Linked DNA regions of Oryctolagus cuniculus. The protein of the gene in region 1 interacts with the protein of each later gene in a biochemical or structural test. Links are inferred from orthologs where the notes say so. Each region holds a gene or a part of one and is shown on either strand. Other genes may lie near its edges.

Region 1 (3,500 bases):
CTGATTAAATCTGGCACTTAGTTTGCTCCTTGCCTGTGTCAGTGCAGCTGAATATGGCTGGAGACAGCAGGTGCTCACTCTCTTCAATTATGTATTCATTGCCACCGGACACTTATATTTGTAGTTCATCACCTCTCTCCTAGATGACTTAATTTTAAAAAAAATTTATTTATTTATTTGAAAGATTTACAGAGAAGCAGAGAGAGAGAGAAATGCAAGGGCTGATCCAGTCAGGAGCCAGGAGCTTTTCCCGGGTTTCCCACATTGATACAGGGGCCTAATTTCTTGGACCATCTTCCACTGCTCTCTTAGGTGTATTAGCAGAGAGCTGGATCGGAAGTGGAGCCACCAGGACTTGAGCCGGCTCCCAGATTGGATGCTGCCACTGCAGGTGTGGCTTGACCTGCTATGCCACAGCACTGGTCCCAGTGACTTAATCTTATGCTTTAGCTCCTCTCCTCAAATTTCAGGCACCTCCTCACCACTGCTCACTCTAAGATGACATGGACATTGTTTGCTATTTTTCTGAGAACATTGGAGTAATCAAAGGACAGTTTCCACAAGATTCTGTACTATATCTGCCTACCTGTCTGCACTTACACTCATCTACTGTAGGTTCTTTCATTACTATGGCTTCACTATCCAAGCTTGTAGCCAAAGGTGAATCTTTTTAGTTGTGCATCATACCCATCTGCCCATCCCAGTTTTCTACTGGAATCATTCCCAGAGCAAACCTAGGCTGTCTCTGCATTCTCTGAAAAAAATCTCTCTTCCCATTCTATACTGTACCCACTTCATTTGAACATTTATTCTGCTACTACCGTGGAATTATTCTTGTCAAGGTCAGCAATTATCTCTGTATTATGGTAACACAGAGTTAGACTCTAGTAAGTGATTTTTCAGTTCTCATTGTATTTGACTCTAGCATTTGACACCGTTTATTACTCTGGCTTTCCTATAGCATGTTCTTCCACTGGTTTCCAGAATCCCACTAGCCTGGTTTTTGTCTTCTATCTCTTGCCATTTGTTCCCAGTTTCCTTATTAGCTGATTATTCATGTCTTCAGTCTATAAATGTAAGAGTGTGCAGGGCTTATCTATGCATGTTTCCTTGCTCACTCCACCCAGTATCATGGCTTTAATGGCATTATCTACCATCTATTTACTGATGTTTTTCTCCATCTCCTACTGGAACTCCATACTCATACATGGAACTACTTGCTTAATACCAAACAGGAACTCAAACTTAACATTTTCCATAGTGAATTTTTTATTACTTCCTTCAAATTACTATTCCTTTTTGCTTCCCCATCTCAATCAAAAGCCTTCAGTTTTTATCCTAGATCAGGTTAAAAACTTTAAGTTATTCTAGATATTCTAATTAGATAATTTAGGCATTTAGGTTCCTTTATTCAGCTGTCCTTAAGTTCCACTTGAAATGGGTTCATTTGGGAGTAGATGTTGTAGCCCAGCAGCGCAGGCTGCCATTTGGGACATTCACATCCAATACTATAGTGCCTGGGATCAAGTCCTGACTCCCCGTCCAGTCCAGCTTCCTTAATGCACCTGGGGAATAGCAGGTAGTGGCCCAAAAACTTGGGTCCCTTGCCACACATGTGGGGGACCTGGATGGAGTTTACAGTTCCTGGCTTTGGTCAGGCCCAACCCTGGCTTTTGCAAGCATTTGGGAAATAAAATAGCAGATGGAAGATTCTGTCTCTTCACTCTCTATCTCTCTGTCTCTGGCTTTCAAATAAGTAAGTAAATATTATTAAAAAAAACAAGTTTGTTTTAAGTATCTTTATTTATCTTTATTAACTTAAAATGTCTTTATTTCTATTCATGTCCTGCTAGTTTAGAAAAGAATTTAACTTACATACTGTTTACTGAAGTGTTTGTATTATTCTCAACCTGTAGTGATAAATGTTCTGCTTTCTTAGGTTCATTCATGGATATCGCTTCTACAAATACCAGTAATAAAAGTGACACTAACGTGGAACAAGTTCCTGCCACAAATGATACTATTAAACGCCTAGAATCTAAATTGTTGAAAAATCAAGCCAAGCAACAGGTTTGTTATATTAAGAAAGTTGCATGATAACCTTATTAACATTATTTTAATTGAAGTTAATGATTTGCCATCTTCTATTATATAAATCCGAAATCTTCCTGGAACCGATGAGTTTAAGAATAAAGACAAAATGAGATTTCTCCTTCTGTTTGTTACCGAACTGTTTTTCTTTCAAATAACAGTTGTTGTCTTTGCCAACTTTGTAACTCCCTCCCTATAATGATCCCTCACTTTAATAGTTGACAGTTAAAAATGTAAAATGGTGGCCGGCACCACAGCTCACTAGGCTAATCCTCCACCTGTGGCGCCAACACACCAGGTTCTAGTCCCAGTCGGGGCACCGGATTCTGTCCCGGTTGCTCCTCTTCCAGTCCAGCTCTCTGCTGTGGCCCAGGAGTGCAGAGGAGGATGGCCCAAGTCCTTGGGCCCTGTACCCACAGGGGAGACCAGGAGGAAGCACCTGGCTCCTGGCTTCGGATCAGTGCAGTGTACCGGCTGCAGTTCACCGGCCACAGCGGCCATTGGAGGGTGAACCAACGAAAAAAGGAAGACCTTTCTCTCTGTCTGTCTCTCTCACTGTCCACTCTGCCTGTCAAAAAAAAAAAAGAACAAACTTAAAAAAAATGTAAAATGGTATAGTCTGGCAGCACTATCCAGTTAAAGGAGTTGTCCTAAATCTATGATTTTGAGCTGTTCAGATTTATTATATTTTTGCCTGTTTTGATTTGCTCTCCTTTCCCCTGCAAACTTCCCTGTTCGTTAAGAGCAGGACAAGATCTATAGGAATCCCTCTGGGCATCTTCTTCCTTCTAGGGCCCGGGATTTCTAAATCTAACAAACTTCAGTAATTCAGATTGACTTCTAATTTTAACAGAGTGAATCCGGACGTTTGAGCTTGGGAGCCTCCCGTGGAAGCAGTGTGGAAAGCTTGCCCCCAACCTCTGAGGGCAAAAGGATGAGTGCTGACATGTCTGAAATAGAAGCTAGGATTGCTGCGACCGCAGGTAAAAAGAACTGCAAGTTGAAGAGGAGCAAAAATGTAATGCTTTTTGGTGCAGTAGCTCCAGTGGTTTCATTAGGAACCTCAGCATTTTTGTATCATATTTTTTGAAAAGAAAATAGATTTATAATAGATTTTCTGAGCTTTTAGAAATAGTTCATGCATCATCTCAAATTCCATAGAAGAAAAGTATGATTTGTAAGATTATTTGAGTTATAAAATATTCCTTCCTAATTACAGATCTCATCAAACACAATTGACTGTGCTCAAACATGAGCTGAAAATCTAAGTGAGAAATTGAAATTATGCCAAACCCAGAATGTTTGGGAGGTTTTTGAATGTTCTACTAGATTTTAGAACTTAAATCAAATAACAGAAAATATTTTGTCTTGAAGTTAGTTTCTTCCAGACCCAAATGTGATTTGGCCTT
Region 2 (3,500 bases), about 58 Mb from region 1:
GAGCACAAAGGAAAGCATAATTTATTTAAAAATTAAAGATGTTTTATTTATTTATTTGAAAGGCAGAGTTACAAGAGGGAGAGGAAGAGACCTTCCATTTGCTGGTTCACGTCCCAAATGGCCACAATAGTGAGGAGTTGGGCCAGGCAGAAGCCGGTAACCCTGAGCTCCATCCAGGTCTTCCATATGGGTGGCAGGGACCCCAGTGCTTGGGTCTTCCCAAGCACTTGTCTTCCTAGGTGCATTAGCAGGGAGCTGTATAGGAAGTAGAGCAGCCAGAACACAAACTTTGATATGGGTCAACTTCCTTGTAAGCAACGGTTAACCTGCTGTGCCACAACACTGGCCCTGGAAGTGCTTTTAAAAGTTTGTTCTTGGGACCAGCATTGTGGCTCAGAGGGTTAAGCCATTACCTTCGATGCCAGCATTTCGTATGAGCACTGATTCCAGTGCCAACTGCTCTACTTCTGATCCAGCTCCCTGCTAATGTACCTGGGAAATCAGTGGAAGGTGACTCAAGTACTTGGATCCCTGTCACCCACGTAGGAGACTTGGATGAAGTTCTTGGCTCCTGGCTCCAGTCTGGCTCAGCCCAGGCTATTGTGGGCATTTGAGAGTAAACCAGCAGATGGAAGATCTCTCCCTCTCCCTCTCCCTCGCCCTCGCCCTCGCCCTCGTCCTCGCCCTCTCTGTCACTCTGCCTTTCAAATAAACTAATTTTTTAAGAAAAAAAAAAGTTTCTTCTCCTCATGTCTTCTCACGTCTGCCACAGCACACTGTTCTATGTTGATACTCCGTCTAAACAAATAAAAAAATGTAATAAGGTGGGCTGGAAAGATGGTTGAGGCCACCTCTTCTCTCTCTCTCCCTGTCCCTCACCCCCAGGCCCAGGTGGATTTAGAGAAGCAAAGGATCCTGGCTGAATTCGAGCATTTGGGGCAGGCCCTAAAGGAGGAGAAGGACTTCCTCCTGTCCCGGATCACATGGCTGGGGCTGGAGGAAGCCAAGGAGGGTAAGGTCTACAACACTGCCACCCAGGCACAACTCAACTCTCTCAGGAATCTCACGGACCGCCTGGAGGCCAAGCAACGAATGCCACCCCAACAGCTGCTGAAGGTGAGTCCCTCGGGGACAGAATCGCAGCCAGGCAGAGCCAGGCCCTAGTCTCTGGCCAGAGCACCCAGTGCCTGCCAGGATGCCGGAGACTGCTCTAGCCTAGCACTGCCCAGTAGAAACAGGTGAAGCTGATACATATACTTTAGAATCACAGCGCGAGCCACACGTGTAATTTAGAAATATAATGTGAGCTACTACATGGTATAATTTAGAAATATAATGTGAGCCATGCATGTAATTTAGAAACACATTACGGCCGGCGCCGCGGCTCAATAGGCTAATCCTCCACCTTGCGGCGCCGGCACACTGGGTTCTAGTCCCGGTCGGGGTGCCGGATTCTGTCCCAGTTGCCCCTCTTCCAGGCCAGCTCTCTGCTGTGGCCAGGGAGTGCAGTGGAGGATGGCCCAGGTGCTTGGGCCCTGCACCCCATGGGAGACCAGGATAAGTACCTGGCTCCTGCCATCGGATCAGCACGGTACGCTGGCCGCGGTGGCCATTGGAGGGTGAACCAACGGCAAAGAAAGACCTTTCTCTCTGTCTTTCTCTCTCACTGTCCACTCTGCCTGTCAAAAAAAAAAAAAAAAAAATTACAAGCCACCTGCAAGAAAACTTCAAAATGCTAAAGGGCGAGTATTTGATGCATTGGTTATGACGCCACTTGGGCCGGCACCACAGCTCACTAGGCTAATCCTCTGCCAGCGGTGCCGGCACCCCGGGTTCTAGTCCCAGGTGGGGTCCGGATTCTGTCCCAGTTGCTCCTATTCCAGTCCAGTTCTCTGCTGTGCCCTGGGAAGGCAGTGGAGGATGGCCCAAATGCTTGGGCCCTGCGCCCCCATGGGAGACCAGGAGGAAGGACCTGGCTCCTGGCTTCGGAACAGTGCAGCGCACTGGCCTCAGCACACTGGATGTAGCAGCCATTTTGGGGGTGAACCAACGCAAAAGGAAGACCTTTCTCTCTGTCTCTCTCTCTGTCTAACTCTGCCTGTCCAAAAAAAAAAAAAAAAAAAAAAAAAAGATGCCACTTGGGGCACCCATATCCCTTATGGCAGTGCCTGGTTGAAGTTCTATTTCCACTTCCCACCCAGATTCCTGCTAATGTGTATCCGGGGACCCTGGGAGGAGGCAGGTGATGGTGCAAGTAATAGGGTCTTTGCCATCCATGTGGGAGACCTGACTTCTACCTGGCTCAGCCCTGGCTGTTGTGAGCATTCTGGGAGTAAACCAGCAATGGTCTTTCTCTCTCTCTCCTTTTCAAATAGATAAAAATTATATTTTAAAAAAATTTGTGAAAAACTGAATTAAAAGATACATTAATTTGGGTGCAAAAAGTTGAAATATGAGAGGTGCTCAAAAAGTTCATTAAAAATGCATTTAATGGAGGCCGGCGCTGTGACTCACTTGGTTAATCCTCCGCCTGTGGTGTCGGCATCCCATATGGGTGCCGGGTTCTATTCCTGGTTGCTCCTCTTCCTGTCCAGCTCTCTGCTGTGGCCAGGGAGTGCAGTGGAGGATGGCCCAAGTCCTTGGGCCCTGCACCCCATGGGAGACCAGGAGAAGCACCTGGCTCCTGCCATCGGATCAGCGTGGTGCGCCGGCCACAGCGCGCCGGCTGCAGCGGCCATTGGAGGGTGAACCAATGGAAAAGGAAGACCTTTCTCTCTGTCTCTCTCTCACTGTCCACTCTGCCTGTCAAAAAAAAAAAAAAAGCATATAATGAAAACACTATTAACTGACTTCAAATTTTTTTGCCATAAAATAAAACTATATTTTAATTTTATTTTCCATGGAGCTTTAAAAAAAAGATTTATTTATTTGAAAGGCAAAGTGACAGAGAGGGTGGGAGAGGGAGAGAGAGGAGAGAGGTCTTGCATCTGTCAGTTCCCTTCCCAAATGCCCAGAATAGCCAGGGCTGGGCCAGGACAAAGCCACGAGTCAGGGACTCCGTCCTGGTGGTCCACGTGGGTGGCCGGGGTTCAAGTACTTGCGCCATCACCTGCTGTCTTCCAGGTCTAGTGGCAGAAAGCTGGATTGGAAGCACAGTAGTGGGGGCTTGACCTGGCAGTCTGATTTGAGATGTAGGCACCCCAGGTGGTCGCTTAATCTGCTGGGCCACAACACACAGCATACTCTGTAATTTAACGTTTTCCTAGTAGCCCCATTAAAAAGAAACAGGTGAAATTAATTCCAATAAAATATTTAACTTAATATATCAATCAAAATCATCAATATTTTTAAAGTAATAAAGAGATATTTCACATTCTGGAGGGGTGTCTTTTGTACTGAGTGTTTGAACTCTAGTGTAGAGTTTGCATGTCAGCACCTCTCAGCTCAGATGCTTAATTGTCCGCTGTTGAAGGAAAATGTGGTCCTACTAAGTTGAGAGA
Region 3 (3,435 bases), on another chromosome or scaffold:
GCTGCCCGCCCCTACCCCACGGGAGACCCGCAGCGCCACGTCCTCACCAAGCAGCGCGGAGACACGGCTACCCCACCCCCGCCAACGGTCACCGCGTGCACCCGATCGACCGCAATCGCGCGTGCCCAAGATCAGAAGCCCCAACATCCTCCCCACTTAGGTTAAAGGTCAGACAAAAAGCCCGGACAACTGTGTTCTTTCAGCCCCCGTGACCAGGAAGGGTAGCAGGGGCTCCGAGCACAGGAGGCAGCCAGAGGGGCGGCGTGCGCCGGGGGTGGGGCGGGGCGGGGCAGGGCAGGGGGAGGGTCGGGGTAACCCGCAGGTCCGGGCCCTCGGGTCCCCCTCCTCACGTGTAGGAGAAGCCATTGGCTGGGACCCAGTTGTCTCCACGACTAATAAGAGGCCCACACAGTATCCGTAGGTCTCAATTCATCAAGGGGGTGGGGGGAGGGGCGCACAACAGGGCTGCCAGGCTCCACGGGAGATTGAGAGGCAGAGGCCCCAACACCAGATATCTTCATTTCATTAGCAGGGAGGAGAGCTGGGAATTCCAAGATGACTCGAGGCTGAGAACCAGAAATGGGCTCCAGTGGCTAAGGTTTAGAAAACTATCAACCCATCTGAGCGCACAGAGCAAGGGCGACCCTGGCAGACAACCGGGCCGGGGACCAGTGTCCAGAGCTGCACAGGGACCCTGTGCCGCCGGCCGCCTCCGCTGACCACGCTCCTCTCCTCGGCAGGCACCCAGCACTCACACCTGTGCACCCCCACCCGCGCGGCTCCGCGGGTGTTACAGATGTCTCACCACCCGTTTAAAAGGAAAAATAATTCAGCCTCTTGACATAGCCCTTCTGAGCAAACAAGGTCTTTTTTTTTCTTCTGCTCATAAAAGGGCCTTTTCTCATCTGGTCTTTAGACTGAACACCAGGAGTCCCCAGGGCGTCCGGATGTCCTCCGGGGTCAGAGTCCACATCAGTTGGTGTCCATGCTGCACGCCTCCTCATCCCCCGAGGCCTGCTGCGAGCTGCCCGGTCTGGTCCCTCCGTCCGAGGAGCCAGGAAAACTGGCCCGAGACGGCGTCTCATAGAACTCATCATCCCGACGCTGGTAAAACAGCACGTACGCCGCTTTTGTCTGAAAGACAAGGGGGAAGGCCACTTACCGGCTGGCTGTCGTGCACCAATCTGCCGCCTTGCCCTGCAGACGCAGAGGTGGCCGCGAAGGCCCTTCCCCGGCTGCGGGCCCCTGCGCCCTTGCGAGGGGAGCGGGCAAAGGCAGGGCCCGAGGAGAGCCGCACGGTTCTTTCAGGAAAGGGGTCCAAAGAAAGGGCAGCCCCTCCTCCTCGACACGGTCACGGAGGAGCACCCTTCCCGCTGCCACCTCACAAAGGCAAGAGGAAGACGCAGGCGTCAGGGCCGACTCACCACGATCTGCTCTTCGGAGGCCAGGGACACGTTGCTGTCATCAAAGTAGTACCACTTCCCGTTCAGTTTGTTCTTCGCGTACGCAGTGTCTGCAAGTCAAAAGGACACCCACCAGGCCCGGAGTCAGGCTCGCAGCGAGCACACAGAACCCAGCACAGCAACGACTCTCAGGATGAAATAATTTACAGTGTCTTAGCCCAGACAGCCCATTGTTCCTTATGTATTCCTTCTCCTAAGGGTAAGCGTGGAGCTGTAAGGGGCCGGCACTATGCTGTAGCAGGTAAAGCTGCCACCTGCAGCACCGGCAGCCCAGCACAACAGGGCTGCAATGCAGCTCCCTGCTGAGGCTCCTGGGAAAAGCAGCGGGAAGATGGCCCAGGTGCACGAGCCCCTGCACCCACGTGGGAGACCTGGATAAAGCTCTCGGTTCCTGGCTTCGGTCTCTGGGACGTGGCTGGCGTTTTTGGCCATGGGGGAGTGAGCCAGGCAATGGAAGCTCTCTGTATTTCTCCCTGCAACTCTTTCAAATACCCTTTTTTAAAAAGATGTATTTATTTATTTCAAAGTCAGAGTTGCTGAGGCAGAAGCAAAGAGAGAGGTCTTCCACCCTCTGGTTCACTTCCCAAATGACTGCAAAGCCGGAGCTGGGCCGATCCAAAGCCAGAAACCTCAAGCTTCTTCTGGGTCTCCCATGCAGGTGCAGGGACCCGAGGACCTGGGCCGTCTTCCACTGTTTTCCCAGGCCACAGCGGAGAGCTGGATCTGAAACAGAGCAGTAGGGACTTGAACTGGCACCCATACGGGATGCCAGCACTGTAGGCAGCAGCTTTACCTGCTACACCACAGCACCAGCCCCTAAAAGTTTTAAAATAAATAATAAACTTTAATTTTTGGAAACTAAAAAATACAATATATCCAGTGCCAATGTTCAGGATGGTTCTGATCTAAATCTAGAGCCAGGGGCTCCACAAAGGCAGCTCGGATGTCTTAAAATCCAAGCAAAACAGACTCTGAAAAGACGGCAAGTCAGTGTCCTGGAAGGCTCACGGGACCGCTGCAGCCTGCTTGCTTAGGGCATTTGGGTTCGTGACCTAGGATGTGGACAACCTTTAAATTTATCTTCCTCTAAAATCCTGAGTCCCATCTGTAGGGGTGCGCATCTGGTGTGGTGGTTAAGCTGCTGCCGGGGATGCCCACATCAGAGGGCCTGGGTCCAAGTCCCGGCTCTGCTTCTGATTCCAGCGTCCTGTAACGCACACCCCAGGAGGCAGCAGGTGATGCCCCAAGTGCCAGGTGGGACTCGGCCCCAGCCGACGGCTGGTAGCATCTGTTGAATGACCAAGCAGATGGAACATCTGTCTGTGTGTGTGTCTATCTTCCAAATAAAGAGAGACAGAGCGAGGGAAAGCGAGGGAAAGCAAGGGCCGCCTGTCCTCACATCACAGCGTTTCCAGCAGGCCTTAAATGTCAGGTTAAAATGATGGCGATCCCGGCCGCCGTGGGATCTGAGCCTGCAGAGTGTGGTTTTTGGTTTCAATGCCTGTTGAGACTCTGGGCGCGGTGTTGGGGCTCCAGCCTCCCTACGGAACGGACTGCCTGTGAATGAGCCAGGCCAAGGCCACAGCAGGTGCTCATGTGGTCTGTGCCCGGCCTAACAGCAGCCACAGGGCTCTGTGCGCAGTTGCAACGAGGGGACCACAGTGCGCCCCCGCACAAGCAGCCGAGACTTGCGCAGGGCGTGTGTTCGCACGTGAGGACGGCAGCTGAAAGTGAACAGATACCAAAGTTCATCTGGGGAAAAAAGCCAAGTCACGACAGTGTGCACTGTGGGACAGCAGGGGCCTGACTGTCCCAGCCTCCCTGCACATCCACGTAGCCCTGTGACCAAGTCATGACCAATGAGATGGAGGAAGAGAGAAGAGGGGAACCGGCGGGGGCGGGGAGTCCCAGAGAAAGCAAAAAAAATGATGTCTTTCCCGCCTTCCTCGCGGGCCCAGGCTGCAGACACGCA
Region 4 (3,590 bases), on another chromosome or scaffold:
AATCTGAAGCTGAGTAACCAGGACTCCAGTTGACACTCTTGTATGGGATGCAGCAAGCCGTGGCTTTAGCCCCTGGGCCACAGCACTGGCCTGGCTTCTTTCGTTTGAAAATCATGAGTACCTACTGAGAACTGCTCTGTTCTAAACAGCCCAGTGGATAGGGGTATGGTTGAGAATGAAATAAAGGAGCACAGCTTCTGTGCCCTGGGCATTGCATCCACCTTCACAGGTCAGGCTGTTGTATCAGAGCCCTGCAACACGGATGGAGGCTACACAGGGTGGAGCTGCTGCACAGTCGCATGTTCAGCTCTAGGTAACTGAAAGCTGTAGTCCTTCCTCCACGTGGAGAGAGTGTTGAAATCAAGGATTTGTCTTCCTTGTTTCCAAACATCTCTTTCTCACTCAAAACCATCAGGAAGGTTTCCCCTGGCTTAACACATCATGAACAGGTTTTACATATTGGGCTACATACCAATATTTTAAAACTGTATTGCAGGGTTTTCTTTTCTTTTCAAAAGATTTATTTATTTATTTGAGAGTCAGAGTTACAGAGAGGCAGAGGCAGAGATAGAAGCAGAGGGAGGTCTTCCATCCACTGGTTCACCCCCCAAATGGATGCAACAGCCAGAGCTGGACCGATCCAAAGCCAGGAGCTTCTTCTGGTCTCCCACGTGGGTGCAGGGACCTAAGTACTTGGGCCATCTTCTGCTGCTTTCCCAGGCTTTTAGCAGGGAGCTGGGTTGGAAGTAGAGCAGCCAGGACACGAACCAGTGCCCATATGGGATGCTGGCATTGCAGGTAGGGGCTTAGCCTACTATGCCACAGTGCTGGCCCACAGGGTTTTCTTAAAAAGAGCTGGCAATCCAGAACCCCATGCAGAATTTCAGTAATTATCCAGAGAGAAAGGGCTGGTCCTCTCGGATGAGCAGATGGGCAGATGGGCACACCAATTTGCATCTGCAGACTCTCCACACCTACTGTCATTTTTTTTTTTTTTAAGATTTATTTTATTTATTTGGAAGGCAGAGAGAGAGAGAAAGAGAGAAAGAGAAAGATCTTCCATTTGCTGGTTCACTCCCTAAATGGCTGCAATGGCCAGTTCTGGGCCAGTCCACAGCCAGGAGCCAAGAACTCCATCCTGGTTTCCCACATGTGTATCAGGGGCCCGAGTTCTTGGGCCATCCTCTGCTGCTTTTCCAGGTACATTAGCAGGGAGCTGGATCAGAAGTGGAGCGGCCAGTTTTCTAACCAGTGCTTTGATATGGGATGCCAGCATTCCAAGTGGCGGCTTAACCCCGTGTGTCACACCACCAGCCCTACACCTACCGTCTCAGCCCAAGCGCTTTGGGCTCCCGCATGTTACAGGGCTAATGCCTCATCCCTGCAAGGCCGTGTCCCCCACTTCAAATGTGCAGATCTTGTCCTTTCCTCAAAAAGCATATCAAGGCAGCAGCAAATGTTGATATCAAATGACAACATTAAAAATAAAAGCTTCTAAAGACGGGGCTGGAGAGTTTTCTCTCTGTATCATTTAGTAATCCCTGTAGCTTGGGAGGTCATCAAGTCCTGGGCAGCGTGTAGGTTTTCTCTCTTTCTTTGGTGAAGCCACTGCACAGCACTAAGGAATGTCACAGTCTGTTTCCAAGGCACAAGCCACCAGCATCAGGTTGATATTTTAAGGGTTATGATGTTGTTTGCTGCCTGTTGACAGAGCCTGGGGGAGCAGCAGGACTTGCTCATTGCATTCTTGACAGATTCTGCTGTTGCCTTAAAAAGAATGGCCGGCCTTGGGCCGCGTGTGGCGCACCCGCGTTCTGCAAAGTCACGGAGCCTTGCATGCAGAACACTTCCTGCGTGCCCTGGGTCCCAGCGCAGACTGCCCTCCAGGAGCACTGCCCCTGGGCTGGGCCCCTCCCCGGCGTGGGCTGAGAGCGGAGCAGCGTGGTTGGAAAGCACTGCTCTTTCGTTGTCCTCACGCAGACCTCTCCACTTGGTCCCCTGCAGGCTCCGCGGGAACCCTTTCTCTCCAGAGGAAATGGAGGCGCTCAGCCACAGGGACAGCAGACTCTTGCTGTGACGTCTGTGCGTTTGGCCCCCAGGAGCTGCGTCCCGTCTGGCAGCGGCCCATTCCGACTGAGCTCTGTCCTGCCCAGAAGGACAGAGCTTCCTCTGTCCTTCCTCTGGAAGAGCCGGGAGCCCAGGAGTCTTCCCCAACAGGCTTCTCCCAGGCCTAGTGTTGCCTTCGAGTGCCTCCCAAGATTCAGCCGATGGGCATACAAGAGGCACTGCAGGGTTCTGACGTGGGTCAGTGGGACGTGAGCATTAGCACAGACCCCTGCCCATTCCTCTCAGGAAGCGGGAAGAGTATTCAAGAAGCAACTTCCTGCCACGTCTCAACTCTTGGACATCCGCCCAGCCATTGTCACCTCTGGTCCTGCCACTCAGCCTGGACTGCTGCACGTGATGAGATCGAGAAGATTCCTGTCCTCAGCTGTGCTATATCACGGGTGGCACCCCCACCCCAGACCCAGCGTCCAAGGCGGGAGGGGCTACAACTGCCCCCGCTGTCTTTTCTGGTGCTGTTGGAAGGGGACCCATGACCGCCATTTGTTCCTCAAGACATTCTGGATTTGCACAAAAGATACAAGCACACTCCAGCTGAGATCACAGGGGGACTTTCCTTTCCAGTGGAATCAATTACTCCTCAGTGTGGCCTTGAGAAACAGCTCCTCATCCAAATGCACCTTTTGAAAATTAACCTGGGCCAGCATCGCAGAGCGCGCCAGGCTTCTGGTTGGTGTTTGTGTCCTGAATGTTGATGACAGGCTTCCCAGAATGCTTTGGGACACTCAGTTATGGAGTGAAGGTTTACAGGGCAAAATCGGGCCCCTCCTTGTAAGCAGACGTCTCTGGGTCTTTCAATAGGATGCCTATGAAACCTTCGTGAACCATCAGGTCCTGTGTCAAAGATGATGACGTGTGAAAACTGTTTAATATTTATAAACCACCTTGTATTCTCTCAAGTTTATACTTTTATAGAAAACATGACCATGAACTTTGTGCTATAAATAATCACAGAAAACAACTGCATCACCAAAGCTGTCTTTGTTGTGACCAAACATTTTTTAAAAAGATTTATTTATTTACTTGAAAGTCAGAGTTACACAGAGAGAGCAAACATTTTTAAATAATCATAAAACTTGTCAAATTTTAAGGCACCATTTTCGACTGGAAGGGGGAGGGAAATGTTTTCAACCGGGTGATTTATTGCTTCAGGCAGAAGCAAGTCTTAGAAATAGGCCTGGCAATCAAAACACATTTGGCTGCGGCTCTGAAGGGTCTCACCCAGCATGAAGTTCTGAGCGGTGCGGGAGCCTGGCGTGCCCAGGCAGAAAGGGTACAGCAGGTGCGCCAGAGGCCCCGTGTCTCTCTTGATTCTCTCCAAGTGGCTCCAGGAGTCTTTAACGTTAGGAGAAAGACGGGGGAGATCTGTGTACAGCTTTCTTCTACGAGCAGCCTTCTGTGTTGAATCGTTCTTCGCTGCACTTAATGAGCAAGGGCTCAGGTGGCTGCTTGCCAGAGAGAAGTCT

The links.
Region 2: the proteins of MAP3K7 (region 1) and TRIM31 form a complex in vitro, tested with the Homo sapiens proteins (2 studies listed by BioGRID, with this or other methods). The link is inferred for Oryctolagus cuniculus from reciprocal best matches to the Homo sapiens genes MAP3K7 and TRIM31.
Region 3: of the proteins of MAP3K7 (region 1) and USP4, one has a biochemical effect on the other in vitro, tested with the Homo sapiens proteins (2 studies listed by BioGRID). The link is inferred for Oryctolagus cuniculus from reciprocal best matches to the Homo sapiens genes MAP3K7 and USP4.
Region 4: the proteins of MAP3K7 (region 1) and NOD2 form a complex in vitro, tested with the Homo sapiens proteins (2 studies listed by BioGRID). The link is inferred for Oryctolagus cuniculus from reciprocal best matches to the Homo sapiens genes MAP3K7 and NOD2.

The regions. Positions count from the first base shown.
Region 1 is NC_091436.1:81,933,401-81,936,900, forward strand, and holds part of MAP3K7 (mitogen-activated protein kinase kinase kinase 7), read left to right. Parts: intron 1-1,939; coding exon 1,940-2,070; intron 2,071-2,944; coding exon 2,945-3,074; intron 3,075-3,500. UniProt on the Homo sapiens protein: Serine/threonine kinase which acts as an essential component of the MAP kinase signal transduction pathway. Plays an important role in the cascades of cellular responses evoked by changes in the environment.
Region 2 is NC_091436.1:140,373,303-140,376,802, forward strand, and holds part of TRIM31 (E3 ubiquitin-protein ligase TRIM31), read left to right. Parts: intron 1-885; coding exon 886-1,116; intron 1,117-3,500.
Region 3 is NC_091441.1:99,944,506-99,947,940, reverse strand, and holds the end of USP4 (ubiquitin carboxyl-terminal hydrolase 4), read right to left. Parts: intron 1,514-3,435; coding exon 1,425-1,513; intron 1,135-1,424; coding exon 973-1,134; 3' UTR 501-972; downstream 1-500.
Region 4 is NC_091449.1:34,279,672-34,283,261, forward strand, and holds the end of NOD2 (nucleotide-binding oligomerization domain-containing protein 2), read left to right. Parts: intron 1-2,004; coding exon of another isoform or gene 2,005-2,077; exon of another isoform or gene 2,078-2,352; coding exon 2,353-2,464; 3' UTR 2,465-3,090; downstream 3,091-3,590. UniProt on the Homo sapiens protein: Pattern recognition receptor (PRR) that detects bacterial peptidoglycan fragments and other danger signals and plays an important role in gastrointestinal immunity.